Linked DNA regions of Oreochromis niloticus. The protein of the gene in region 1 interacts with the protein of each later gene in a pairwise test. Links are inferred from orthologs where the notes say so. Each region holds a gene or a part of one and is shown in the gene's direction. Other genes may lie near its edges. The genes, in order: tfip11, lats1, gng4 and cfap206.

The links.
Region 2: the proteins of tfip11 (region 1) and lats1 interact in a two-hybrid assay, tested with the Homo sapiens proteins (2 studies listed by BioGRID and IntAct). The two-hybrid records come from large-scale screens. The link is inferred for Oreochromis niloticus from reciprocal best matches to the Homo sapiens genes TFIP11 and LATS1.
Region 3: the proteins of tfip11 (region 1) and gng4 interact in a two-hybrid assay, tested with the Homo sapiens proteins (2 studies listed by BioGRID and IntAct). The two-hybrid records come from large-scale screens. The link is inferred for Oreochromis niloticus from reciprocal best matches to the Homo sapiens genes TFIP11 and GNG4.
Region 4: the proteins of tfip11 (region 1) and cfap206 interact in binary tests that used the Homo sapiens proteins (3 or more experiments, as listed by UniProt). The two-hybrid records come from large-scale screens. The link is inferred for Oreochromis niloticus from reciprocal best matches to the Homo sapiens genes TFIP11 and CFAP206.

Annotation. Positions count from the first base shown.
Region 1 is NC_031977.2:17,583,289-17,591,088, reverse strand, and holds the start of tfip11 (tuftelin-interacting protein 11), read left to right. Parts: upstream 1-4,797; 5' UTR 4,798-4,943; intron 4,944-5,867; 5' UTR 5,868-5,869; coding exon 5,870-6,075; intron 6,076-6,167; coding exon 6,168-6,327; intron 6,328-6,424; coding exon 6,425-6,581; intron 6,582-6,681; coding exon 6,682-6,809; intron 6,810-6,926; coding exon 6,927-7,088; intron 7,089-7,314; coding exon 7,315-7,506; intron 7,507-7,661; coding exon 7,662-7,800. Other genes in the region: si:ch211-166a6.5 (clustered mitochondria protein homolog), read left to right, coding at 80-153, 338-863; srrd (SRR1-like protein), read right to left, coding at 2,460-2,700, 2,790-2,941, 3,176-3,274, 3,371-3,564, 3,645-3,685, 3,777-3,919. UniProt on the Homo sapiens protein: Involved in pre-mRNA splicing, specifically in spliceosome disassembly during late-stage splicing events. Intron turnover seems to proceed through reactions in two lariat-intron associated complexes termed Intron Large (IL) and Intron Small (IS).
Region 2 is NC_031980.2:17,320,865-17,327,860, forward strand, and holds the start of lats1 (serine/threonine-protein kinase LATS1), read left to right. Parts: upstream 1-3,981; 5' UTR 3,982-4,158; intron 4,159-4,666; 5' UTR 4,667-4,777; coding exon 4,778-5,107; intron 5,108-6,235; coding exon 6,236-6,323; intron 6,324-6,996. Other genes in the region: nucleoporin Nup43, read left to right, coding at 1,177-1,339, 1,426-1,561, 1,664-1,815, 1,918-2,034, 2,707-2,936. UniProt on the Homo sapiens protein: Negative regulator of YAP1 in the Hippo signaling pathway that plays a pivotal role in organ size control and tumor suppression by restricting proliferation and promoting apoptosis.
Region 3 is NC_031978.2:23,724,649-23,732,282, reverse strand, and holds the start of gng4 (guanine nucleotide-binding protein G(I)/G(S)/G(O) subunit gamma-4), read left to right. Parts: upstream 1-4,632; 5' UTR 4,633-5,228; intron 5,229-6,503; 5' UTR 6,504-6,510; coding exon 6,511-6,609; intron 6,610-7,634. UniProt on the Homo sapiens protein: Guanine nucleotide-binding proteins (G proteins) are involved as a modulator or transducer in various transmembrane signaling systems.
Region 4 is NC_031980.2:28,784,645-28,791,585, reverse strand, and holds the start of cfap206 (cilia- and flagella-associated protein 206), read left to right. Parts: upstream 1-3,931; 5' UTR 3,932-4,034; coding exon 4,035-4,104; intron 4,105-4,145; exon of another isoform or gene 4,146-4,195; coding exon of another isoform or gene 4,196-4,256; coding exon 4,257-4,378; intron 4,379-4,459; coding exon 4,460-4,543; intron 4,544-6,228; coding exon 6,229-6,319; intron 6,320-6,941. Other genes in the region: uncharacterized protein LOC100698705, read left to right, coding at 217-409, 544-668, 800-990, 1,121-1,254, 1,351-1,583. UniProt on the Homo sapiens protein: Essential for sperm motility and is involved in the regulation of the beating frequency of motile cilia on the epithelial cells of the respiratory tract. Required for the establishment of radial spokes in sperm flagella.

The DNA of each region.
Region 1 (7,800 bases):
GCCTGAGAGCATACGTGACTCTCTCTTTCAAAGGAAAAAGTAAAGCATGCTAAACCCCATTGTTCTCAATTTCCCCCAGTGTCTCAGTCCAACATCCGACATTATTCTGGAGCAGATGGTTCTTGTTACGGGGATCAGGAACATTACACAGAGGTAAATATTCATAGTGGGATGGCATACCCAGTGTTAAAGCAATGTGACAATGCACGTCTCAAGAATGGACCCAAAAATGGACTTTAGAAATGATGTTTTAAATTCTAGTTGGATTGTATGTGGCTTACTTCAGTATTAGCATTTCTTATGTATAAACCCACTTATGACATGACTGTTTTCACAGCAATAGGTTCCAGGAGTATAAGCAGAAGCATCTGGAGCTAAAGGCTGCAGTGGTGAAAGAGCTGGGACTTAAACTACCTAATGTCGGCTCAGTGGCTGTGAATGAAGGAGGGAAACGTTCAGATCGAGAAACGGGATGTGGGAAGGAACCAGAGGGTGGGGGAAACCCAGCAGCAGCAGAGGATACAAGCAAGTGCCAGCAGGACCAACAAGTAGAAGGATCTCTGGAGAGCACTGGGAAGGTTTCAGCTAATGGTCATGTGATTGAGCCAGCTAAGCAAAACCAGCAAAAGGAGAAAACCAGTGCAGAAGGTGACAAAGCGGCCTCTGATAAGGTCAACACGGTAAATGATGAGATGGAGTCAAGCTCAGGCGAAATAAATGGAAGGATGGACGTCCCTGCAAGCCCATCGGCCCTGAGAAGTGGCGTGAGCTGGGCAGATGTTGTTTCAAAGTCCAGAGGCAAAGCTACAGCCGTAAATGGAGAAGGAGATGGCAGCACTGCCGATGGAACAGCTGAAGAATGATCACGAAGCAAACAAAGAGTTGTAATCGAGTTTTCCAAAGTCACTGCTGTAAGATTAAAAGCTCTTCCAGTATTTCCTGATGAAATTTGATCCAATGAACAAGAAGGACAGAATGAGTATTACTTTATGCTGAAGATTTTACCCTAGTACTGACTCTAAGAGGGTTTAACCTTTTTGTTTTGTTTTTCAATAATAAACTTTTTACCTTGTGTATTAAAAAGTGTGCCTTCAGGTTTTGTTTTGTTTTTTTTTTTTTAAATGCACTTACATGACATGACTTTATATCATGTTAATGTGAATTTTAAAGGTATCAACTCTATTCATCTGTAAATCAGGATGCATGTGTCCTAATAAACCGACCAAATTTGAAGTTCTATTTGTACACAGGTGAGCTGAAGCACTGGAAGGTAGAAGACTGTAAAATAAAAAGGGTTAGCTTTTATAAAATCTTGCTATTCTATATAAAAGTTGAATCTGACTGGTTCAAACATAAGAAATACAACTTATTGTCTTTATATACTTAAATTACCAATGTAACAGTTCAACCCTATGAGAATTTCCATTCATGTGAATATAAATAAAAAATTTGTAGAGTTGATAAAGTTACATTTTTGTAACATGCTAATGTGTGTTTGCTTCTTGGTGGGATGTGGGTTTTTGTTTTGTTTTGAACATCTGACTGTGGAGACCAATTGAGTTACAGTATTCAAGAAACCAGTTTATAATTTGAGCTTTGTGACATGTTATTTTGCTTGAAGCAGCCATCAGAAGATGGGCACTGTGGTGTTTAAATAATGCCCAGTTTGCACTAAAGAGCCAAATAAGTGTCAAAATCTCCCAAACAACACTACGAGCCTGAATTCTAGATGTAAGGCAGGACGGATCCATGCAAATCACTTTCCATGTGAATTGTAGCCTCAGTTACCTGTTCTTAGCTGACAAGAGTGACAGCCGGTGTGGTCTTCTGCTGCTGAATCTCACCTGCTTCAACATTGTGTGTTCAGATATGCTCTTTTGCATACTTTGGTTGTATCGTGGCTAATTCAGGACCAGATACATAAAATGTTACAGTTCTATTAAAGAATTTGTTACAGCTGAATAAAGTCAGACTTTATGAGCAGGATTTGTTATTCAACAATTTAATTCTTGTGCTTTTCTTGAATAGATCGCATGGTCCACAGTTCAAAATAATCCTCATTTTATAGTGGGCCTTCATGCCCAGTCCCTCAATTTGTCACTGTTTGTAAAGAAGCTGTTTTAGCTCTCCTCCATTTTATGCCAGCTTTCTTTTGATTGGCTTCTGCTTACAAACAGAGGGTTTGAACAGTAAGTGGGAGGGGCTTCTGTCCCTTACATCTGGAACTGACCAAATTAAGGTTCCCTGATGGTCTTAAACAGCGAGTTTAGGGCAGTCTGATCCCTGAGGTTTTAGCTCACTGGAAAACTCTGAAACGTGGTCAGTGTTTAATATGAAAACCCATCATTGTCACCATATATAATTAAGTAAAAGTACAACAGGTCCATTAAAAAAAAAAAAAAAAATTGTCATATGAATGACAACAGTCAATAAAAAACGTCCCATATCCATCTCCTGCCTCAGCTCCGAGTTTCCTTCAGTATAATCTCCAAATCAGGGCTGTGCTGGTACTGTGGCTCAGGTGACTCTGCCCAGGTAGACTGTGGGAGACCGTTAAGGCTGTTGGAAGGAAATGTGATGACTGCTGTGTCATTGAAGACGTCTATCAGATGAGATGGGCATGCGAGCTTTCTCTCCACACTAAAATCCACAGCCTTACTGATGTAGCTGTAATCTCGCTTAAACTCTTTCTCGATCGTCCTGTTGGGGAAACAGACAGATGTCAACTTCATCTCCACTGCTCTTGCTTAAACGTTGACTCCATCGTGCACGTGTCTTCTCGTACAAACCTCTCCCTCATCCCAGTGAAGCTGTTTCCGATGATTATCATCAGAGGGAGACCCCGTGCACTCCAGTTCTTCCACAGAAGGTTGTTGTAGAGGGCTTTCCCACAATGCATAAGGTAAAAAAATGTGGGTTTTTCTACCAAACGTTTCCCCTCCTGAACAATACAGACACACAGGATCACACACTGTTTGCACAGTCTACTCCCCTAAACAATGTTGTAGTCCCCATTTTCAATATAAAATGGATAATAAATAATAATATAGTTGAAATTTGAAAGAACTGTAAAGTTTTATGTACTATATGACACAGTTCTCTTTAGTATATGCCTATTAACAGTGTTTGACTTAATTACCAGGACAAAAAAAAACATGAGGGAGCAACAACTGACCTCATTTTCTGAGAGTACAGTCAGACCCAGGTCTCTCAGAACATCTCTCTCTCCAGAGGAGAAGACTGGATCATAGACAGAGCAGTCCTTTAGAGGAATCTGAAGAGATATTAACAGGGAGAAACATAATATGTATAACAAGCAGGGTCTGGTGTGAATGTTTGTCATCTAACTGAGGATGAAGCCTCCCCTGACCTGTCCTGCTTCCAGTAGAAGAAGCAACATGGCAAGCTGGTAGCGGGCTGAGACACAGGAGGCAAACGGACCGAGACCATAACACACACACTCCAGCTGCTGGCATGTCTTGGTTATCCGCTCCGGCTGGTCCTCAGCGTCCTTGTCCGCTGGAGATTTTGAGAGAGATGCTGATGCCGCCACCAAGAGCTGCTCTAAAGGCAGAAAGACAATCACACACACAGCTGCAAGCCAGATGTTTGGTGGTAACCCCAACTTTCAAAGCAAAACCTACCCTTCCAATCTTGCCAAAACTCTTTGCATCTTAGTTCAGACCTGCAGAGGTGAAATAAAAGCAGAGTTATGGGACTGTGGTGAAGATGAGACGTCCGAGGTGTTGCTGCTGAGCTACACTTTAATTTCATACACGGTGTCTCTGATGCGTTTAACAGTTTTCCCGACGTCCAGCGGCTCCTGCCCGCATGCTGCAGACACCTGAAGAGACTTTGAGCTCCTCGACGCACCTTTTCGTCGCCGAGCCACCCGCCACTCCCCTCCGGTGTCCGACATTTATGCTAACTTAGCACCAATACCCCAGCATATCATTAAAAAAAAAATACTCGTCCAGTTATCAAAGAACGAAAAGCATTTTTTTTTCTTCAGTAGACAAGTGACCAACATGTGGGAATATTTTGGGTGTAACACGCGTTTCCTCTTCCGGCGTTACGCCAAATTTGTAGTCCATCAAATAATATCCACCTGGTGGTGGTGTGCGGTCATTAAATTACTTTACAAATAATGCACAGCTCGGTTGATTTAAAGAAACTGCGACATTAATTTTTTGTATTTATTTTAAATATTATTATATATAATTATGTATATTATTGTGAAGCAAACTAGAAATTGCCCCGTTGTTTTTAGCTAATTTTGTTTATTAATACATTCTCATATAGGACTTTGGAGGGTGGTTTTATGTATGTTTGTATGTACTTATTTAATATTTTATTTAACCAGTGTGTCCCAAATTACAGATCCTGATTCACTTTTATAGTAAGAGAAGTCAGTGAGACTTTTATCTTTAATAATTTTAGGTATTCATGTTCAAATATTGCCTCAAGTTACTGCGAAATAATATTCTGAAAGTGGGTAGGCACATTTTTTCTAAATAAATAAACACATAAATACATTTTGAAATGTAGTTGATATATTTAACATATGAACCTTTCTTAAACTAATAGGATGATGTAATATGAATTTCTACTAACCTGGGGGAAAAAACTAAACTGAGTTTATATACCGTGTTTTTATTATTATTATTATTATTATTATTATTTACTACTGAAACGAACATTACTTCACAAAATAAATGAGATAAACGCATCTTTGCCCTATCTATGCCAACAGTCATTACTAAGAACCAACGAAATTTTTTAGAGGGGTACAGATTTTGGTGTAACACCATCATACCGGAAGTACTTGTGTTGTCGTGCACTAAACGAAGAGGCTATTGGCGTTAGTGTGGATTACTTCTCATCGTTTTTGAACGAAAGCATGTCCAATTGATCTCCACGCAGACCTTTATATAACTGTTCAGGTGCGTTAGAGAACACGGTGTTTACACTGCTTGTCAACACTCGAGATTATTACGTATAGCAAGACATTTATGCTGTAGAGGGTAACTAACCTTAGCTATAGCTAGTTATCGTTAGCTTACATTGTGTTTTCTCCACAGAGATGAATTTGTTCGGTGTCGTTAGTGTCAACTAACGAACCAAATATTTGAGATAGTGATGTGTGTGTTTAAGACGTGTCTCTATAAAATAAAAATTTTCTTTAAATTTATACTGATCTAATTTTTGCGACACTGTTGCTGATCTGGAATCTGCAGCAATAGAGCCTCAAAGTGTGGACAGGCTGACAGATTAGTTCAGATAGGATGTTCTCAGACAACGTTGTGGTCTGTAGTTAGAGTAGGGAGCAGGTGAAAGAGAGCCTGGACAGCTGGAGGTGTGCTCTGGAGAACAGAGGACATGTGAGAGAATGAGAGAGAGAGATGGGTGTAAAAGTAACGACGAGGAGGGATAGTGGTTTGATATGGAATGCAAGATATAGAGCTGCCAGGCAGGAGGAAAAGAGGAAGACCACAGAGGAGGTTCATAGAGGAAGTGAAGGAGGACATGCAGAGTGTTGCTGTGCTAGAGGAGGATGTTAGGGACAGGGTTAGAGGATCTGCTGTTGCGACCTCTAAAGAGAGCAGTTGGAAGAAGAAAAATGTTATAGCTCGAAAATATTATGTTTTATTATAATGTATTTGACTTTGTTTTTCCCTGTGCTCTGAGCTACAACTCATTGCTTTCAACAGTAGATTGAGTTTGATCTGTTGCTATGGAGATGGATGTATTTTATTATTCTGATCCCATGTCAAAGGTCTTTACCTAACCTTTAAACGAGTAGAGCAAATTTATTTGAAATTACTTACATTTCTTTAAATTGTGATTTTGTTCATTATGATCTCCAGAGATGTCCATGTCACACCTATATGGGCGGAGAGATGAGGAGGAGGAGGGTGTTGAGGTTGAGAGCTTTGAGGTGACAGACTGGGACCTGGCCAATGAGTTCAACCCAGACCGCCACAGGCACAGGCAGACCAAGGAACAGGCCACTTACGGCATCTGGGCTGACAGGGATTCAGACGAAGATGAGAGGCCCAGCTTTGGTGGCAAGAGGTGAGGCGTGGGTTTGTTTTTGCTGTTGCCCACAGCTTTAAAGTCGGCCATTAGTAGGAGATTGAGTTTGCTGTCTGTGTTTTTATTGCTAGATCTAAAGACTACACTGTCCCAGTGAGCTTTGTGAGTGCTGGTCTGCGAAAGACGGGAGCAGAGGAGAAACAGCTGAAAGGGGAAGGAGGCTCTGACGACTCTGATGATGATGGTCCTGCAGCTCCTCCACCTTCTCGTGCACCCAAAAAACTCCAAATGGTAAATTTGGTTATGTGTGATTTGTTTGTGTGTATATTGCACATAAATATCTCAAAGAAGTTTATAGGAACAATTACATGCTGAGTTGTTTTGCTAGGGTAATTTCCGTGGGAATCAGTCACAGAGGTTTGCAGGTGGCATACAGTCTGGACAAGGCATTGGCAGCTGGGAGAAGCACACTAGGGGAATTGGGCAGAAACTACTGCAGAAAATGGGCTACCAACCAGGAAAAGGCCTGGGAAAGAATGCTCAAGGTAGGAATGGCTGAGGAGGCAACAATATTGAAGTATTTAAGAGTATTGTGTGTATTTTAGAGCTGATCTACTTTGTTCTTCCATGCTCTCATTGCTGCAGGTATTGTAAACCCTATTGAAGCAAAGGTTCGTAAGGGAAAGGGGGCAGTCGGAGCCTATGGAAACGAGCGAACTCCGCAGTCTCTCCAAGATTTTCCTGTGGTGGACTCTGATGAAGAGGAGGAAAAGGTAAAGTGTGGACAAAATTTGGCTTTTCCTTTTTCTACAAGTAAGCAGATGTTGAATTGTAAAGTCTTTTTTTTTTTCTTTTTTTTTTTACATTAATCTAAATTTGTGCTGATGTAGGAGTTTCAGAAGGAGCTGGGCCAGTGGCGTAAGGATCCTGCAGGGTCGGGAGGAAAGAAGAAACCGAAGTACTCCTACAGAACTGCAGATGAGCTCAGAGCTAAAGGCAAAGTGGCGGGGCGGGCTACAGCGGCATCTGCTGGGGAGCTGGCACAGGTCAAGGTATTAGTGCTTTTTTGTCCTTTCTCAGAGGTGTGTTATAAGGGCACTGTGGCATGGTTGTTTTTTACAGCAAACTTTAGCAGCTAAAGTTAATTGTAGTCAGTATTAGACTCTATGGGTGAAGTTGTTTGGTGTATCTATGTAAGCACATGCACTCTGCTATTATTGTTTGTTTTTTTGTTGTTTTTTTAACCTTTTTTACCCCGTACCTGCCCCCGGTGCCTAGGTGATAGACATGACTGGAAGAGAGCAGAAGGTGTACTACAGTTACAGTCAGATATCCAACAAGCACAGCGTTCCTGATGAAGGTCCACCAAGCATGTCTACTCGGGATCAGAAGGGATCAGGCTTTGCGCTCCCTGAGCTTGAACATAACCTTCAACTGTTGATAGACCTTACAGAACAGGACATAATACAGGTATGAGGATACCAAAATTGTTTTTCCAAATATATTTGACTATAACTGAAATACCTTCTTATTAGATCAGCAAACTGGGGCTTCCTTTATAATTTAGCAGATTTTTATTATTTATTTTTTTAATCTCTTTCTTTTTTCATATAACCCCGGTATAGTCTGCCAGACGTCTGCAGCATGAAAAAGACGTTGTTGTTTCTCTGAGCCACGAGTCGAGAGCCTTGCAGAACAGACTGGATACGGAGCAAGATGCCATCCAGAGAATGGAAGCTGTGCTGGCATTAGTGGAGCGTTTTC
Region 2 (6,996 bases), on another chromosome or scaffold:
CATGATCTGAATGTCTAGTTCCACCACATCCCAAAGATGCTCTATTGGGTTGAGATCTGGTGACTTTGGAGACCATTACTCAACCAGCAGCTTGACCTGTTGATACAAGGAAGGATGGCTCTGTGCTTTTACATTCTTTACACCAAATTCTGACCTTACCTTGTGCATGCTGCAGCCGAAATCGAGACTCATCAGAATAGGTGATGTTTTTCCCAATCTTCTGTTGCCCAGTTTTGTTGAGCCCATGTTTACTGTAGCCTCAGTTTCCTGTCTTCAGCTGACAGTAATTCACTGGATATTTTATCTTTTTAAGACCATACTCTTTAAACCCCAGAGATGGTTGTGCAAGAAAATGCCAGTAGACCAGCAGTTTCTGAAATACTCAAACTAGCCTGTCTGACACCATGACAACCACATCATGTTTCTTCCCCATTCTGATAATCAGTTTGAAATTCAGGAGGACCATGATTACATGCATGCACTGAGTTGTAGCCATGTTACTGGCAGGTTCTTCTTTTTGTTGTAGCGAGCAGTTGAACAGGTGTACCTAACAAACTGGCCCGCGAGTTTTGGGTCTATCCCAGGGTCCCCTCCCGGTCGTGCGTGTCGCGAAAACCTCCAAAATGATCCTGATCAGATCGACACAAAGCAGTGGTGATTCTACTCTGAGCTTTTATTTTTAAACGAAATATATTTAAACTAAAATATCAGGAAATTAACACGGTTGTATAATTGGTATTTAATGATCTATAAAGTCAGTCTTGTGCAAAACAGGAATATGTTGTAACGAACCAGACTAGACCAGTAAACTGAACTGGACCTCACTCTTAACCCTTGACTAGAGATAACAAAGTGTAGACTTGCAGAGTTTATCTACAGTGGGAGGGAATTTGTCTTGCTTAGCAGTAAAAAGTAGTTTAACTGAACCTTTCTTCAGCGTCTTCACAATAAAAGTATGAAACCAGACATTTGTGTATAAAATACTTAACACAAAGATTCAAGCAAGAAACTACAGTGGACCAGCTCCTTACATAGGGTGACAACCTCGGCCATGTCATCAAACTAAATTACGATAAGTTTTAGTGAAGCCTTATTCAGGAGGGGAATGAGACAGACTGCTCAGTGGGATGCTGGATTCATTGGATTCACTTCTTGTTTCAATTCTCTTGCCTACAGACCATTTCGGTGTCTCAGCTCTGGGCGAGAGCACATCGTTATCCCTGTGACAACGCTCCCTGCACCAGCGTCGTGTGCAGCAGCCCGGAAATTGTTACAGTGGGTGAAGATGGTAGGATCATCGTCTTCAGAGCTGACCAGGAGGGAGTGGTTCGAGTCATCGGTGAGCTCAAGAAGCAGAGTTTATTTTTAAGTTCTGTGAAACAAGTTGAAACTAAGATCTTTATTGGACTGTTTAACCTTTGACAGAGAATGCCGACAGCAGCACAATCCATGCAGTGACTTATCTGAGGACCACAGAGATTTTGACGGTGAACTCAATCGGTCAGCTCAAACTGTGGGACTTCAGACAGCAAAGCAACTCACCATCACAGATTCTGTCCCTGTAAGAGCTCTAAAAAAATGCATTCTACAAAGTTTTTTGTTTTCTCCTTCCTGTTTATTTCAATTATAAGCAAGTCTGATGAGTTGATTTCTGTTCATCCAGGTCAGGGGATCGAGTTCCTTTACACTGCGTGGACAGACATCCGAACCAGCAGCACATCGTGGCCACAGGAGGCCAGGATGGCATGCTCTGTGTGTGGGATGTGAGACAAGGCAACACGCCCTTCTCACTGATGGAGGCACATACGGCTGAAAGTAAAGTCGGCTTATTGTGGGAAGATGTATTAAAACGTAAATTCAAAGATGTTGTGCGCGTAAATAATGGTTTCATACGTATGTCTTTGGTTTTCCTGACAGTGTGGGAGGTCCACTTTCACCCAACCAACCCAGATCACCTGTTCACATGTTCAGAGGATGGCTCGCTGCTGCACTGGGAGACATCCTCCCATTCAGACATGCCTTCCTTCTTACAAGGCAAGTCAGCTTTGTGGTATAAATATGATTTTTTTTTACACTATTTACCAACTAATTTAATTTCCTTCAGAATGACATTTTGAGCCAAAGAAAAAGCTCGCCGCTGTCATTCAAAGCTGTACTCCAGCAGCAGTGTGCCCAAAAGGAGTTTTAATTGTTGTAAATGGACTGGTGGCTATATAAGGCTATTCCACTCTGAATGAGCACTCGAAGCGCTTTTTACTACAAGCATCATTCACCCAATCACACAGAAACATCCATACATGTGCTTTTTTCCAATACCTAAGCACCTTGTCTAATATTTGTGCACACACACACTCTGATTGGTACATCGGGGGCAATTCACAGTTCGGTATCTTGCCCAAGGATACTTCAGCATGCGGACTGGAGTAGCCAGGGACTGAACCACCAACCTTCCAGTTGGTAGACATCCCACTCTGCCTCCTCATTTATGTACAGAGCAAATAAAAGAGGACCAAGAATAGATCCTTGTGGAACACCTGTACAAATGGCAAGAGTTACAGCCAATACTGTTCACTGTCTCACACTCAATCAGCCAGGAGTTAACAAGTTGGCCTGTAAATTTCCTCAGGAAACTATTTCTTAATAAAATAAGAGTATAGTATTAATTCCTCTGTGTTCATAATGTAATAAGTGTTTTTGTATTTTTAGGGGGCAGAAACAGCAGCATGGTCTCCCGCAGTGCAATGGCTCCAGCCGGAGGAAACCAGTCCCTGATCAGTGCCTGGCTAAGTGGAGACTCCAGCAAAGGCCGCCTGGAGACGACTCACATGCTGCCCAGCCAGACGCTGTCCGTCAACAGCCTGGACGTGCTCGGTCCGTGTCTCGTGTGCGGCACCGATGGAGAGGCTATTTTTGTCAACAGACAGGTCCCGGTTTAAAAGCGATGTTAGTGCCTCAGACTGGATGTGGATGAAGATGTTTATTTGGTGTCAGCTTGAGGGTCATACAGGAGGTGTAAAATACTGGATGATGAGGCTGTTGGCTTTATTTGTTTATTTGTCTTTTTCATCACGGACAGAATTGTTCAACCCAACAATGGTTTTTGTACAGATGACGTTTAATACAGTTATAAAATAAAAATACTTAATAGAAATGTCTCAAGCCTCATTTGAGCTGTTTTCTCTCTTTTTCTTTTTTTAATAAATACAGAAATTCAAAGTTGATCACTCATCTTTTCATTACGTTCTTAGAAGATCAACTTCAGCTCTAACTCAGCATCTAGATTACAGTTTTCCCAGGGCTATTTCCAGGCCTGCTTTAAAAGTTAAAGTTCCTAGTCAATTATGCATTTAAAATGTATGAAAATATAGTTAAAAGTCCAAAATGTATGCCCTCCTTCACATCTTCCAAAGGTGTCCAGTGGGCTCGATCGTCTTTTGCTGGCTCACTATATTCAACACTCCTAAATTAAGGGTTACTAAAACTATTTTTACATGGCTCCAAAATTTCTTTGCATAATGTTGTGTGTGTATTGTAATGGATTTTCAGGCCATCTTAAATCTTTCCCATGTCAAGTGCCCCTGTGCTAAAATAAAAGGAAACCTCAAACGAATACCCAAGCCAATAAAAACGTAAAAAATCGATAAATAATTACTTAGTTATATTAAATAAATAAATACATAATGCCATGATATTTGGAGTGATTATCTCAGAATTTCGAGTTATGTATCTAAAAATTTTAACTTATTGAGAAGTATCGAAATTTGGCGTCAGTAATCAATAAGTCAAGTTATTAAATCTAAATTTCAAAATAATAACGCGAAATTTTGACTTACATGCTTTTTTCTTCAGTGGTTTAAACGAGTTTCCATGCACTGGGAAATTAAACTCAATTGAAAAAAAAAAAAAAAAGGTCTTTTACATTAACGGAACTTTATTTTGAAAAACGGAAGTATTCTTCGTTAGCTTTATTTATAGCTTGGAGCTGTTGTACTTGTCATTCAGACATCCCAGGAATCCTACACGACTAGCCAGTCAGCACGGCACAACAAGGACGTTTTGAGCTAAAACTGCGTCCTTGTCACCGAGGAACGTCAAGCAATAGTCTTTACCCATTGAAAGAAGGAAATTGTGGCGGAAAAACGGCAGCTGAGGGTTCTGGTAAGTTGTCTAACTGTTGTTAGTTGTGCTTCGAGCTAACAGGCTAGTTCGCATCCTGTTGTTGAATTAGCCTAGAAGCAAATGGATGCCTTTAGCACACAGGCCGCGGAGGCACTGCTGAGCCGCTGGATTTAACACAGAGAAAACTTACGATGGCAGAAGCTTACGGATCGTTAGGTAGTTGTGATTTTAATGGCGAATTTGTCGGATGTATTTGGCATTTTATGCTAGTATCTGACGCAGGATCGTTCGCGTTAGAGCAGCACTCTGTTAGCGAACAGTGCTAATAGCGCTAGCAAGTGGGTGAGTTATTGATTTGTAATGGAAAACGGTTTCGTCTGAAGGTTTAAGTTTTATACACCACAGTTTAGCTTGTAAATAAAATAAAAAGCAACGAGATCCAGTTCTGTTTTAGCTATTGGCTACTACTAATTCCCATATTTTATGTTTATCTGTAAAGTAGTACACTCACATTCTCATGGATAACATCCACTCTATATTTTTCCAGCTGCAGCATGCAGATGTGAGCTCAGACATCAAAGATCCTGTGCTATCACTGCAACTCTGGACTGGTGAAATCCTCTTCATCCCTCTTCATCGTCATCCTACATGCTCGTACATGAAAAGAGGGGAGAAACCCGAAGGATACCGGCAGAGGAGACCCAAAACGTTTCCCGTCACGAACTACAGTGGCAACAGCCAACAGATGCTGCAGGAAATACGGAACAGCCTGCGCAACCTGTCGAAACCGTCAGACCCACCTAAAGTGGACACTGGTGCACAAGGGAAGATGCTCCCAGAGGATTCAAGGCAACTGGGTCGCAGCAGCAACCCGAAAAACCCTCACCACAAAACCTTACAGGAGATCCGTGAGGCCCTCATGCCTTTTAAAAATGAGCCCAACACTTCAGGCTTCCAGCGGGAACCCCGTTTTGCAGGGCTCGAGGAGGTGAGAAATGTTTTTAGATATATCTGTGAAGGTTCTCAGTCATCCAGGTCATCGTAGTCAAAGGAGCTTGCAAAGAAAAGCGTCTGGACTTCTTTAAGTTAACTGAAGAACTGAAGAAGCTTCTCGGATGAGAGGTGAAAGGTCTTCAAGCAACTTAAAGAAGTCCAGACGCTTTTCTTTGCAAGCTCCTTTGACTGTTTTTAGATATAGTTAGGGATTGTTTTGAATGATTGTGGAGGTATGACGTTCTGTGCATATCTCTGTAATTGAGGGTAATCGCTGGGAACAGATTGTTTTGAGTGAAATTATTTAGAAAATGAGAGGCATGCAAAGTGGAATTACAAGCTTGTACAGTTCAGAGTAAAGAATTTGTTTCTCAGTTGGCATTTACAACTTGTTTTGAGTAAGTGCATGCAATCCAGGTATGAATTTGGTATGTAGTCCTTTAGTCAAAGTATGTCATAGTTGATGTAAATTTGTTCATTTAAGCTACAATTTTGGCTTTCACAGGTCATTAAAATAAGATAACTGACATAAAACTACTATTTATGATGTCAGTATTAACTAAAGCACCTGTGATTATGATTTTTGCCATAATTAATAAGCCCTGCAGTTAAAGAGGTTGTGTGACTGGTTCTGTTTGTCTGCTTGTTGTTTTTATGTGTTAGCAAATTACTCAAAGTTAAGGACAGACGCCTGAAAATGTTGCCAGTTGTGTGACTTGGCACAAGTTAAAAGTGAAGAACTTTTTCTTTTTCTTTTTTTCTTTTTCTTTTTCTTTTTTCATTGCAGTCATTCCATTTGCACAACTTACTCTGGAAATGCTCTAGATGCAGATCTAATATGTCACCATGTTCTCTTTCCAACTACTCCCAGTCTGTGGTTTTAGTTCCACCTCATCATCAGTCAACACAAATCTTTGCTCTTGTGTTTTTTTTGCCATTGTTCTTGTCTCTGTAGTATCAGTACAGGAGGATTTTCTGTGTTTGTTTATAGATTGCTATTCAACTGTTGGACAGAACAAAACAGTGAATTAAAGATGTCACTATAGGCCTATTTGTGTCTTATTCCTCTTTTATTGCTCAGTTCTAAAAAAAAATTGTGTTCAATTTCTTTTTCCCTCTTAAGCCAAGCGTCAGTCACGGTGTAGGGCCGGCTACAGACTACATGGGTAAGGTTGTTTCCAACCCCAGCTCTGCAGGCCTCAAACCCCCAGGTATGTCAGTCCTCTGGGATTAACTGTTGCTTCTCCTGTTTTATCATCCATCCAGCCTCAATATTGTTTGAGGGATTTGGGACATTTGCTTTAAGAAATAACTGTGCTGTTGACACACAGCATGAGTCACTGCATCACTGAAGGGAAAAAGTTGACTGGAAGGTTTTGGGTTTTTATTCTGAGTGGTGGTTGTGACACATTTTAAGGATGAAAATATTGTCTTTGTTTAGTAAATAAGCAGTTTATAGGGCGTCTGTATTGCCTAGTTATTACAAAAAGCAAACCCTAAAAGTTCTCATTTATGCAAGTCTTTATCCACCATGCCCTGGAGTAAAGGATTGCGTGTGAGTCACTGACAAATGTTTAATACAAATCCTTTATAAAACTTGTGTCAAAAGGATTCCCAGGTTCATTCACACAGTTGTGAAATTGAGGGCATTTTGAAGGTGTGACACATTAATTGAAAGGGGACATACGAGTTCATTGAGGGAGAAAGGCAACACGCAGTTAAGCAAGGTAAAGAGCCACTTGGAAGTCAACCATCCACTCTAAGAGAATCTGAGGCAGCAGAATAATTGGTTGAAATTATTAAAGTATCTGGCTAGGTGACTGAGGCAAGGTTCAGATGCCTCAATTGGGCTGAGAGAAGTGGCTTTTCCTGACGGTATGATCA
Region 3 (7,634 bases), on another chromosome or scaffold:
CCGCCTACAGCAACCGCTTCACCAGCACCACGGTGCGTTTCCATGGCGACGTCCCCCTCTAACCTTCCGCCTCCACACGAACACCCAAACCGCCCACCACCGCCGATTACACCCCCCCCCCCCCCCCCTCTTCTTTAGGCAGCCTCACTGCGCTCAAACGCTCAGCTTCATTAGTCACATCACAGCTGCCCTTGAAACACATTTCCACCGAGCCCATAAGTGGGATTAGAGGTCTCAGAGTTCAGTCATCAGAGAAGCTTTCAGACCTTGTCAGTCCCCACCAGTAGACATGTGGATTTGCCATTTTTGTCTCTAAAGGGACTTCCAGCAGCTACCGATGGGCAATTTGAGTTTAATTAATGGAGATTTTTAGGAAACATTAAAAGCAAGATGCGATATATACGAGTCACAGATACATTTGGATCTGTATTGCTTCTCTGTGTGGTCTCTAACATGTATTTCCCTACATAGCCATCAGAGATGGAGGTGGAATCTCAGGTTCACCTGTACGGGCACACGGGGGAAGTCACCAGCCTGTTTGTCTGCAAACCCTACAGCATCCTCATCAGTGTGAGCAATGATGGCACCTGCATCCTCTGGGACCTGAACAGGTCAGTGTGTTTGAAAGGTTTTTATGTTTTGTTTTGTTTTGTTGAAGAAGAAAATGCATTATGCAATGTTTGTGTGGTTGCTGAGCTCTTCTGTGTTTTCCAGACTCTGTTATGTACAGAGTCTCACAGGCCACAAAAGCCCGGTGATGGCTGTGTCTGCCAGCGAGACCACGGGGGACATCGCAACAGTGTGTGACTCAGGTATGAGGGGGCGGGCGTCTTCTTTTATAACCCGAGTGTTTATCGTGTCTCATCTTCTGGTTATTGAAGTGTCTTCTTGTCCTTGGTGTGAGTTATGGCTCTGCTTCTTTTGTTTCCAGAGGGAGGAGGCAGCGACCTTCGCCTGTGGACGGTGAACGGGGACCTGATTGGGCATGTCCACTGCAGAGAGATCATCTGTTCTCTGGCTTTCTCCAACCAGCCGGAGGGCGTGTCTGTCAATGTTATCGCTGGTGGGCTGGAGAATGGCGTCGTCAGGTAGGCAAAACTTTTCTTTTGCCGTTACATTTGTGTCCTGTTCCACTAGACAGCTTTGGAAATTGCGGAGGAGGGAATAACTTTTGGACTTCAGCTTTTCCTTCTCATATAGATCCACTCCATGGTCACTCACCAAACTAATTAATACAGTTAGGTCCATATAAATATGGACACAAACACAAGCTTGTTTTTTTACGTTTACTGAAACATATTTCAAATATAGTCATAGAAGTTATATAGTTATAGGAATGAACATTTTATTTTCAGTTATTTAGTTTGTCCAATTACTTTTGAGCTCCTGAAATGAAGGGATTGTGTTAAAAATACTTTAGTTCTTCACATTTTTATGCAATCTTTTTGTTCAGCCCGCTGGATTAAAGCTGAAAGTCTGCACTTCAACTGCATCTGAGTTGTTTCATTTAAAAATCATTGTGATGATGTTACAAACAAAATTAGAATAAAGTGGTCTCTGTACAAATATTTATGGATCTAACTGTAAATAAGTAAATGTTACATGACAGAAAGTTCCTGTTTTTCACTCTCTGCTATAGAATTTATTTATTTATGTTACAATAGCTCTGAAGGTTTTTTAAAAAAGGAGAATAAAATAGGAAATTTTCTGAGTCTGAGCAAAGAGCTACAGGAACATTGTAATTTTACACATTTATTTCTTATGATTTAAGCCCAAAGAGTCGTGCTGGCAGATTTCTTTTACTGCAGCAGAATTTCTGTCATGTAGAAAATCCCAGATGTCTTGTTGAAACTGCACTGCTGGTTTTCTCATATTAAGAGATCCCAGGAATTAAATGTGTAGTTAAATTTCTTTGGATTGACAGGAGTTTCACTTGTCTGGCCCACTGGGCTTGCGTGTGGCCCACGATGTAAAATGAGTTTGACATCCCGCTCCCTGCACGGTTTATTTTTTATTTTTTTAATCTCTGATATGTTTTCAGGTTATGGAGCACCTGGGATTTGAAACCAGTGAGAGAGATCACATTTCCCAAGTCTAGCAAGCCCATCATCAGGTTTGTTTACAGCACGCTGTTCTCTTTGTACTTTTATGCCACGCCTGTATGCTCGTCAGCATTTTAAGTTTAACGGTCTCCTCTTGTGTCTGCCTCAGCCTGACGTACTCGTGTGATGGCCACCACCTCTACACGGCCAACAGCGAGGGCACGGTGATGGCGTGGTGTCGACGGGACCAGCAGCGCATGAAGCTGCCCATGTTCTACTCCTTCCTGAGCAGCTATGCTGCAGGATGAGTGTTTGTGTGATGTTTGCTCCTGTCCACTTCTCAGCAAGAGGACCTCCCCTCCTCCTCCTCCTCTTCCTCCTCTTGTCTGCACTGATAGAGAGGAGGACATGTCAGCATGTCCTCAAACTCTCTGAACCCTCCCTGACTTTTAAATAAAGCCATCCCCAGCAGAGCAAACTCTACCGCCGCCATTCCCAGCATCAAGAAATGATTCTGAAAATAGTATTATATGTACATAAGTATATATTTATAAATACATTAAAATGGACTCTTGCAGGAATGGTTGAGTATTTGGCTGAGGCTGCATCAGACACTTTATACAGGATGTATTTCTGAGAGTGCGTTTCATTTGTCGAGTCTTTAATTCCTGCTGATGTGTTTTTGTTGGCTGGTGTTGATTTAGCCGTTTCCTGGTAAGCTGCTATGGTCTGGACAAAGCCAGACTCAAAGTGTGAAGACCCTCGTGTCTCACCTCGACATCGCTCACGTCTCCTGCAGCGTGCGGTCTGACAGATCGCCGCCCCAGCTCAGTGAGCGCGTCCTGCTGACGCTGCAGTGGCTGCGAGGGAGGGGAGCCCCCTCCTCGCGTCTGTCGCCAGGAGAGGTCCCGCTCTGCAGGAGTGAGACGTCCCTCCGCCGCGCTGTCTGCTCCACTCAGATCTGAACACTAGAGTCACGAACCTGCTTCACTTTGTGTCTGACCTCAGTGGACGGACCGAGGGGACCTTGTGGGTGCCTGTTGTTCTGTCCTGCTTTTGCATGCTAGGATGATGCTGCCCTTGACTGTGTGAATGTGGATGTGACATTTGCTGCAATGATGCTCCTTGTTTTAAGGCCTCCCTTGGTTAAACCAGTCCATTTGCTCTTTAAAAACACCATGGAGGCTCATCTCTGTCTTACCCGTCGCTTAAATGCACAAGAACCACTTTTCACTACTTTACAGGGCTGATTTTTTTTTTTTTTTTTTTTTTTTTTTTTTGAGAAAGCAATTAACAAACTGTGTTAGATACTTGCGGTCGGAGGAGGAAGAAGGCGGAGGAGAGAGTGATTTCCTGAATGCTCCGTGATCCTCACTGATCTCCCACACTTACTTAGCACCTGTGCAGCATTACTAAAAGGGTGCAGTGGGTGTGGGAGTGTTTAGTAAAGAGCGTTGCGTCGGCTGATATCATATACACTACATGCATCGGTCTGGGAAACGGCCGAGCAGCTGTTTCTTTTTCTTAACTCACTCCAGGATCCATGTAGCTTTTCTTTACATTCCCACTTACGTTACTGCACTTAACGGTTTCTTAAACGAGAATCAGAAGCACTTTTTTTTTTTTTCCCCCTCAGCTACTTCAGTTTAAGTAGAGCCAATGATCTGTGGCCTTAACACGAACTGAGCTTGATTTAATTCCACTAATAAATCAAATCCAGAAAGCAATATCAGACACAGACATGCAATAGGTCATGTTTTTGCTACCTTGTTTCATGTGGGAAGAAACCAGGGTTCATTTCGTTTCTTTTTCTAAGACAGCTGTGAAACAATTAGTTTTTTTTCCCTTTTGTGGTGACTGCAGCGCCCGGTGACGACTAACGTCATACACTTACTTGAGAAAGGGATTATTTCTTGTTAACTCATTCCTTTTCGCTTCATCGACCTGATTTATTTTTCTTCCTGATCCTACGTGGACATGTTACTGTGTTTGTTTACTGATTGTTCCTGTATGAACATTTCCTCTGTGAAATGTATGAAAAAACTTTGTGAACCACAACCTCTCAACCCAAATGTATGTTTGTATGGATGTTTTTTTGTTGTTGTTTTTTAATGTAAAAGAAAAGCAGGTAGAAAATGTGACAGGAGATTTTCTGACGGAAGGAAATATTTTTCTGTTAATGACTTAAAGCTATGCATAATTTAAGATCATCGTTTTAGGTTGCTTAAGTTGTATTTTGGCCCCTCCTGCTAGTTTTCTTTCTTTTTTTTTCTTTTTTGCAGTTTTGGCATCTTGAAGGTTCCTAATGTTTAGTTTTGTTTGTATGTGTGTGCGTGTTTGAATGAACCAAGTGATAAGCATATTATAAATATATAAAAATCTATAAATATTTGAAGAAATATTCCTCCATCGATTTGATTGTGTCCATTTCTTTGTGTGCGTGTGTGTTGGGGGGGGAGGGGTTGCGTTCAGGGACATAAAGTAAGCAGAAACTCGTGTCGTACTGCATAAATCAGATCGGAAGCACGAACAGGAAAAACAAATTAAAATTTTTAAAAGTTATCAGGATGCAAGCCACGCTTAAGAGCGCGTGCAGTCGTTAAGGGTGAGGCCATCAGGGGGACACGGTGATGTCAACGCTGATAGAAAATAAAATGATAAACGAAACGGGGAAAGCCTGCAGACCTGCGCTGCCTTCTGCAGCAATAAAGCTAATTAGAAACAGCCGCTCCTAATTTGACTAACAGGCAGCGTCGGTGCGTTTACGGCCACTCTGGACAGCTGAAGCTCATCCCGGCTCTCTGCTGCTGCTGCTCCTGGTCCACTGATCGAGTGCTCCCCGCCCCACAGCCTGTATCTGATCGTCATACAGAGGTTTCCCCCCCTGCTGCTGCTGCGTAACATCTCTCCAAGTCCAGCCGTGGTGCTCACCAAGACCTCACCGCTTGGAGCTCATCTTCCTACACGGAATACGCACTGAGCGAGCCGCCGAGGCGACATTTAAAGACGCCGAGATTTTTGGCTCCTCGGGTTCCGTCCAGACCGAAGCTAGGCTGGGATTTCCTCTTATCGTTTCATATTTGACAGATCTTTGTGTGTGCGCGCGTCTCTGTGTGTGTGTCTGTGTGTGTTGGGTGGAGTCAACCCGGAATTCTCCCAAATTGGAAAACCACTGGCACATTTCAGGTAGGTCGGCCGCTGCAGGCTACATTAATGAGCGCGTATCCGACCAATGCAGGGATTTATTTCAAAATGTTTATCATCAGTGCAAAAATCATTGCTGCTCCTTTTTTTCCCCCCCACATGATGCATGGTTTGCTGTTTTCTGCTCTAACCAGGGCCGCAGCTCGCTGTGTGTCCACAGATTAATCTCCTCTTAGAAATAAATAGTCGCCCGCGTTTTCACAGATCTGCATCAGCAATTAGCAGCATCGTTGCATTTGGATAAAACTGCAAAGGGGCGAATACAGCCGAGCAACCCTCAGGATGGATGCATCCAAAGCAAACCTAAACGGAGAAGGCCCGATGGCTTCCTACGAGGGTGTGATTTAAAAGCTATAAATTGGCCGTCGAGCTGTGGAGGCTGGAGGGATGGCAGATGAATTTGTCGTCTTCGACCGTCTGCTTTAAGATAAACACATTTTTTTTTGTGATTTTAATCAAGAATCGATGCGCAATAATAATAATGCATATTATCATAGAAAGGGGGATTGATTCAGCAACCCCTCACCTCCAGTGAAATGCTTCATTTCTTAAGGCAAATTATTAGAAAACACATCTGTGGACATATTTCTGCCGTTGCTGCCAAACTGGGACATTTCAGTGGTGACTGGGTGGGTGGGGGTGGCTCAAGGAGGCTAAAATGGGAGTAAGATTTAGTGATTGCGGGGATTGATCTGCAGAGCTGCAGCTGATGCACTCCTGAGGTGAAAGTTGAGAGGAGGAAGGCCAGCAGTGGAAAGATCTGCAGATCCTGGGAGGAACTGGGGAAAAGCTGCAGGTGCTTTGCTTTTCTAGGTGTACCAGCATAAACTCCTGCTGAAGTGCACTTGAGCAAAGCACTAGGTGTGTGTGTGTGTGTGTGTGTGTGTGTGTGTGTGTGTGTGTGTTAGTGTCTTAATCCCTGCCAGCACTGCACTCCTTGCTAACTTCTCCCCCAGCCAGTTGGTCTAAAGAATAACGTGACAAAGGAAGGAAAAACAATCATGCATGAGTGCTGGCTGAAAAATGACAAACTGCTGTCCAGCTGATGCCCACAGAGCAGCTTCTTCAGATAATAAATGGACAAACAAAATGGGTCCTTCCAAGTTTTACTGTGTAAAAAGGAAGGGGTGAGGTTGTACTAGAGAATTGCTGCTCCATCAGGGTAGAGCTCTCGCCTGGGGGGGGCTGCTGATTTAATGTGACGTTCACTGACTCTCTTCCCCCCCCCTCTCCCCTTGCATCTGTTTGGCGTCACAGGAGCACCATGAAGGACGGCATCGCCAACAACAGCACGGCCAGCATCTCCCAAGCCAGGAAAGCTGTGGAGCAACTGAAGATGGAGGCCTGCATGGATAGGATAAAGGTACAAAGCTTTATTGTTGTTATTGTCTGCGCACGTGAACAAATATTTTCACATCACTTCTGTTACCAAGTCTGCAATTACTCAAAAACCGTACCTCCACTTATCATGGAATTGAAAGCTTTGTGTGCCTCTAACATCGGCTGGGATTTTGGAGCAGTTCAATAGGCGCGTCTCGATGAGTGACAGTTCTCAGCAAGCATTTCATTTTTGCTCATTTTTGTCTGAATAAAGCACAAAATTAACTTTGCTGCCTACAATTGGCAACATTATCACGCTTGGCTCTCATGGCTTCATATTTGCACACAGTAGCACTGTTTAAAAGAAGAAATGGCTGAGCTGATGGTGCCGTCGTCCAAAAACTGGGAAAAATGCATCGATTAGCCACACTGCATGGGCTTTTCCTCGTGTTTAAAATACTCACTCGTGCACTAAATCTGCATCCTTTATTAATGCACTAATTACTCCTGTTTGAATCACCGTTGGTAAACACTACAGTGCCCAGCTGTTTGAATGTTATTTATTTAATTTTTAAATGAATCCTCATTTCCACAGTGGGGTTGAATTGGCTTGCTGTCAGATGTATTGAGGTAGATCAAAATAAACCTGGCACAAAAAGTAAGGAAATTTGTCTTTGGTCAATTTCTTTTTGTTGTAACAAAAAGCCTCTTGGGAATAAATGTTATACCGTTGTAAATCTTGTTTATTTCTCCTTAAATGGTCCCACTTGTAAGGAAAGTGCATTTGTGGGTTGCGCCCATGAAAAACTTGCCAACTTGGCAAGCTAATGGACCCTGCTGCAGCGGTCAGTTGGTGTCCAATCCAAACATGCCACGTTTGACTGATTTAGTGCTTGCGCTGTAGGACAACTTCAAGCTGGTGTTCTGCAGAACCAAGATGCAGCATTATTTGGAGTGAGCTCTAGTACAATATCCAAATTGAAGACAACGTTTCTGATAATGGAGGATGTCAGAGAAAGTCGGTGAAGTTGGCGTCCCAAGAAGACGGTTTCCCTGCCTTGTCAGCAC
Region 4 (6,941 bases), on another chromosome or scaffold:
CCTCACTTCACAGGCAGGAATATGTTCCTGAGGCTCAGAGGGCAGCTGCAGGCCTATTTGTCCCTGTGGATTAGTCTAGTTTGAATGTCTGTGTTTTGAGAGCTCACCCACTTTGCAACTTCCCCACCCATTAACATGCTTCCCTCAAGAGAAATAAAGTATTGGTGGTTGTTCAAAAGCTCATTTACTCTTGGTGCTTGACTTTTTGTCTCTTAGATCTGGCATCATACGTTCCAGCAGCTGCGCGTGGAACCAGAAGATCACCCAGTTCTTTTGACTGAAGCAGCCATGAACCCCCTGAAGAATCGGCAGCACGCGGTTGAGATCATGTTTGAGTGTTTCAACGTGCCTTTCACCTATGTAGCCATGCAAGCAGTGCTAGCGCTCTACGCAGCAGGAAGAACCACTGGTACTGTAGTCGCTCGTCTTCACGCACTGATTGATGCACACGGATGATGGCTTGTCTGAAGACTTTGTTCAGCTTGGTGTATTTAAACCACTCAAATCTGATCCTATGATCCTACTTGTGTGTATTTGATATAGGTGTGGTGTTTGACTCTGGGGATGGAGTGAGCCACAGTGTACCTGTGTTTGAGGGATACTGTCTACCTCATGCTGTGCAACGCTTTCCCCTGGCTGGATTAGATGTTACACTGCATCTTAAAAAGGTATTCAGCACTTCTGTTAATGCCCAGTGTAGGAGCTATGTTATTGATTGCTTGGAAGGCATAATCCCTGGATGGTTCCTAATTTAGTTTAAAGATGAGGCAAAACCAGCTTGCTGTGCTTGTGCTTTAAGCTTCTCCGGGAACAAGGAGTGTGCATGCGTACCACAGCAGAGGAGGAGATAGTGAGGGAGATGAAGGAGAAGTGTTGCTGTGTCGCTCTCAACTATGAAGATGAGCTAAGTCGGGGGCAGTCATCCTGCAGAGAGATGCATTACACCATGCCAGATGGGCAGATTATTACCCTCGGCACAGAGAGGTTCAGGTAATGCTGGTGGGGTGGGGGGCTGCTTCCTGCTGTTTACCAACACTTAAGTCTTAGAAATGATCTTGCGGTCACCTTGCTTGTTGTATAGCACAGACTCTTTAGCAGAGTGTACCCCCTTTTCATCTAGGGCACCTGAGATTCTGTTCAAACCTGAGCTGATTGGACGGGACCATTATGGGATGCACGAAAGCATCTACAGGTCAATCCTCAGCACAGACATTGACCTGAGGCGCTGCTTCCTGGGAAACATTGTACTTTCAGGTAACATTTGGTTCTTGGTAAGGTGTTGCACTACAATCTGAAGTACAATGGTTTTCCAAATTCTGCTTCTATTTGTTTTGTCCTCTCTTCCTGAAGGTGGGAACACTCTGCTGCCCGGCCTGCCTGAGCGACTGCAGGATGAAATCAAAGGCCTGCTGCCCTCAGACATGGGGGGCAGTGTTTGTGTAACCAGCCCCAAAGATAGAGACTCCTCAGTGTGGAGAGGAGGAGCAGTGTTGGCAAATATGCCCACCTTTACCTCTGCATGGATCGGTCGGGAAGAATACGAGGAGTATGGACCGCAGATAGTCTTCAGGAAGTGCTTCTGAAACGACTGAAAGGTTGATGGCTCATTTCATCAACAGTGCCACTGGCTGCTGAGCCAACGGGACTCAGCTGTTGTCCCTCCGTTGTCCCTCTCTGTGGAATCTTTTGTTTTGTTTTTCTTAATTTTCTCTCCCCTGTTCTTTAGTGGAGGTTTCCTGCTTACACCTTATGCACTTCCTATACAGCCCACTAACACGGCAATAAGGAAGTTGATCTAAACGTTCCCATCCTTACTATTGTTGTTGCTATCACTATAAAACCTCTAAGTGTGTCTTAAATTCTAAATTTCTGTGTCCCAAGAACTTGAGCCTAAATATATTCATGTTCTGTGATTAAGGGGCTGGAACTGAAGCTGCCCTTTAATTCATGTCTGTCTTTGTTTCCAGAATACGCAGTTGAGAAACATGAAGAAATTTTGATGTGCCAGCTTTAAATTGTCCATTAATCTGATATTGTCAAAAACCTTATTTATTGGTTTTTTGCTTTTTATGTGAATCATGATACTTTGTTTTACACATGGTGGTCCAGCTGTAACCTGCTGTGATTCTTTGAGCACTGAATGTTGAGTATTAAGAGCTCTGCAGAATTTATTCTTAAATCTTCTGCAATAAGGGATTTGTCACAATGCAACTTTTAATGATTTCTTTAGGTAATACCAAATTTTCGTTGTAGTGGCTCGTTATAATATGACTCAGATTGTCATTATAACACATGACAGAATATATTTGTTTTGTTTTTTAAAAAAAATTCTTTTCTGTGCAGAATCCCTTGAATGGAGTGGCTCCTAATACTCATCAGATGGGTGCAGTGTACATGAGTTTTTCCTGAGGTCGTTGTTGGTTCTTCTCAGACCTCGTTGCACGTGTTGCTCTGGTACATTGTGAACTCTATATCTTTTTCAGTGTGGTGTCATTTCAGTGAGGGTTGTGTTGTTGTTGTTTTTTTTTTTGTTGTTTTTTTTTTTTTTTTTTTTTGTTGTTTTTTTTTTTTTTTTTTTTTGTTTTTGTTTTTTTTTGTTTGTTTTGTTTTGTAGGGGACCACTGTGTTTTACATGCATTCTTGCACAACTGATCCTTTTTGTGGACGCTGTTCCAGTGATGCCAAACTGCTCAATTCCTATTAATTCTGAAAACAAACAAAAACAACAACAACAACAAAAAAAAAACAAACCCCAGTGGCAACCCATGCTATTAGACTTGGTCAACACTTAAAGATTTTTATTATTTATTATTCTGTGCATGAAATTCAGTTGCATGAGTTTGAATTCCATGTGTGTGTGTGTTGTTTTGGACTTGTGTGTGTACTTTGCATGAGTTTTGTATTTTTAAGTGACTGTCTAAAAGCACAGGGTTCGTCATGTGGCCTAGAGCTTTGCTCTTATGTGGAAATTACTGAACTGTGACAGCAGGAGCTGCCGTTTGTGGCAAGTTTGAAGTGAACAGTCTCTAATGGATTGTGTGGTTCTTCTCCTAATTGTACTTAAAAGGCTGGGCCGAGTCCAGCAGTGTTTTTCCTGAACCATGTCATTTTATTTTTTTTTATTTTTATTTTTTATAAATAAATATTGTAATCATCATCCTGCTGTGCTGACTTTGTTTCAGTTGTAGACTTCTCTGAATGTTTAGGCTAAAACGGAAATGGATCTGCTTTTTCATATTTGCCTAAATGAAACCGGTGTGTTCCTGTGTTGTCTGATAATGAAAGGTAAAAGAAGACCTTCAAGTAAACCAAATATAAACAGGTGGAATGGGTGTTAGCTCAACCCACTACAACTTCCAAGCTAGCAAGACTGATCTGTTAATGGTAGCATTACCAGTGCCTATAAACATACACAGCATCCAGTAAAGACAGGCCTAATGATGACAATAATCAACTAAAGTACACAGTCAAAACTATCAGGATGGATGAAGACTTACGGGTGAAACTTGGAAAATTTGAATATCGTGCAAAAGTTTATTTCAGTAACTCAGCTTAAAAGTTGAAACTAATATATGATATAGACTCATCACATCCAAAGCAAGACATTTCAAGCCTTATTTTGTTACAATTTTGATGATTATGGCTTAATAACTTTAAAAGTTAAAAGTATTTTGGTCTAGACAACACAAAATGTGATGTCCATATATGTGGATGACAGGTCCTAGGAGGTTAACGCTGATACTTGAGATTTCATCTATGTACTGAAGTCTGTTCTTCAATTGAGGGTATTAAGGGTATGTCCTTAAAGATGGGAAAGATGTTTAAAAACTTGGAAGGCTCTTCAAATATAATTTTGTATATATATATTTGGTAATCTTGAAGCATTAATGCCATTAGATATGAATGGATACAGAAATGTGGCCCCCCCTCCGCCCACCAGCATGGACTCTTGCGATGCCGCTTCTCTGCAGTCTTAATTGGTCATCTCCCATGTGTCACCCTCTCCACGTGTCCTGAAGCGATAAAGACCCTGAATGCCGCCAAAACATCTAAACACGAGTCACGGTAAAAGCTCATTCCGTTATTCGAGTCTTGTTGGCTCTGGTGTGTATGCTTTTAATTTTTTGTTTGTATTTTTCCCCCAGAACTTAAAGGATGAAGAGCAAACTGTAGCGCACTCTAGTGGATACCTGAAATGAATCTTAGCAAATTTGCACCGTTACTTATGGCAACTGCTTATCAACAATCCGCCATAGGTCCGCCGGTAGAAATGGCTCAGGCTGGTGCGGAAAGCCTGCTTAAAACCGTAATCGGGCACATTGTGCACGAGTGCAGGCTGAGGGGAGACGCGGTGTCGGACACGCTGGCAGCTTTTATGGTCGGTAAAGCAAAGTAAGCACTTAGTCGTTGAGCTAACGCTGCTGCTGTACACGTTCATGATGTTTTCAAACATCCACAGGTGACTGCTGTGGTGCTGGACCCAAGAAATGGCTTTAATGTTGACAGGACCCTTACTAAAGATGATGTTCAAAAACTCGAAGAGGTGAGCTGCTTTATTTCTTTTTCTAATTGGTTTTAGTGGTTCTGAAAATCATTGTGTATGTTTGAGTCGAAGTTCTGTTCTGTTTCAAAATTAGGCATTTCTTCCCCATTTAGTGAGGGTTATGGGAGAAAGGCCAAGAGTTAGACGTTTCCTTTTAACAGGAGGCAACTTCAAACAGGGAGTGGCAGCTGCGCTCTCCTCTTCTGAGTCCTGATGTTTTAGATCCTGTTTTTTTGTGGCTATTTCATTTACTTCTGTAGTTTCTGTTTTTTCCTTGTTTTTGATTTCTCTTTATGACTATTATTCTTACTCAATAATGACAGTAAAGCAAATTTTTATTAAGATATATTAGACTTGTTACTGCTGAATCTGACTTCACCCCTTCTTCGAAAGCTTTTGGTGTAAGACTAACACAAGCAATGATGGTAATCTATTCAGTTCAATTTATTTTTATTCATACTGCACCAAATCACAACAACAGTCGCCTCAAGATGCTTTATATTGTAAGGTAGCCCCTACAATAACACATACAGAGAAAAAACCCAACAATCATAAGACCCCCTATGAGCAAGCACTTTGGCGACAGCAGGAAGGAAAAATTCCCTTTAACAGGAAGAAACCTCCAGCAGAACCAGGCTCAGGGAGGGGGCGGCCATCTGTTGTGACCGGTTGGGGTGAGAGAAGGAAGACAGGATTGAAGACGTGCTGTGGAAGAGAGCTAGAGATTAAGACAAGTATGATTCAATGCAGAGAGGTCTATTAACACATAGAGAGTGAGAAAGGTGACTGAAGAAGAAATACTCAATGCATCACGAGCCTACACCTATTGCAGCATAACTAAGGGAGGATTCAGGGTCACTTGATCCAGCCCTAACTATATTCTTCCCGTATCCAAACTTGAAGCTGGTTCCATAGAAGAGGTCCTTGAAAACTGAAGGCTCTCCCTCCCATTCTACTTTTAAATACTCTAGGAACAACAAGTAAGCCTGCAGTGAGAGCGAAGTGCTCTAATGGGGTGATATGGTACTATCAGGTCCTTAAGATAAGATGGGGCCTAATTATTTATGACCTTGTATGTGAGGAGCAGGATTTCGAATTCAATTTTGGATTTAACAGGGAGCCAATGAAGTGAAGCCAATATAGGATAAATATGCTCTCTCTTCCTAGTCCCTGTCAGTACTCTTGCTGCAGCATTTTGGATTAACTGAAGGCTTTTCAGCAAGTTTTTAGATAATAATGACTTACAGTAGCCCAGCCTAGAAGTAATAAATCCATCAACTAGTTTTTCAACGTCACTCTGAGACAGGATATTTCTAATTTTAGAGATATTGCGCAAATGGAAGAAAGCTGTCCTACATATTTGTTTAATATGTGCATTAAAGGACAAATCCTGGTCAAAAATGACTCCAAGGTTCCTCACAGTGTTACTGGAGGCCAAGGTAATGCCATCCAGAGTAAGAATCTGGTTAGATACCATATTTCTAAGATTTTCAGTGCCGAGTACAATAACCTCAATTTGATCTGAATTAAGAAGCAGAAAGTTAGAGGTCATCCGGGTCTTTATGTCTTTAAGACATTCCTGCAGTTTAACTAATTGGTGTGTGTTATCTGGCTTCATGGATAGATAAAGTTGTGTGTCATCTGCTTAGCAGTGAAAATGTCTCCCTCTGCAACATGTCTTCCAGCTGTGTCTGGATAAACTCACAGAAAAGTGCAGCCCATCCCTTGACACTATCAAAATGCAGGTGTACTTTGACATGAATTATACCACGAAATGTAAGTATAAGCTCATTCTGATTTTATGTGGCACCAATACATGTATGTAATGCATGTTAAGCTTGCTAGAGGTTGTTCATTTTTTTTTAGGTTTATTTTGCTATACAACATCTGTCTAGTTTCTAGAGTGACATCTACAAATGCCAATGACCAATTATTAGCATCCATCTAGTTTCATCTTATCTGAGTTCGGTTTGCAGAGGCAGCAGTCTAAGCAGAGAAGCTCAGCCCTAACTCTCACCAGCTACTTGTTCAAGCTTATCCAGGTGACATAATCTTTTCAGCGTATCATTGGTCTACCCATGGTCTCCTCCTGGTGGGACATGCCTGGAACACCTCACCGAGGAGGCATCCTAGCCAGATACCTGACCCACCTCAGCTGGCTAGTTTTGTTGTGGAGGATTAGTAACTCTACTCTGAGGCCCTCTCAAATGACTTAACTCCTGTTTCTAAGGGAGAGGCCAGCCACCCTTTGAAGAAAGCTTATTCTTGTCGCTTGTATCTGCAATCTCATTCTTTTAGTCCCTACCCAGAGCTCGTAACTGTAGTTGAGGATGAGAATGTAGATTGACGGGTAAATCAACAGCTTTGCGTTTACAGACCAATAAAGCATCCACATTGC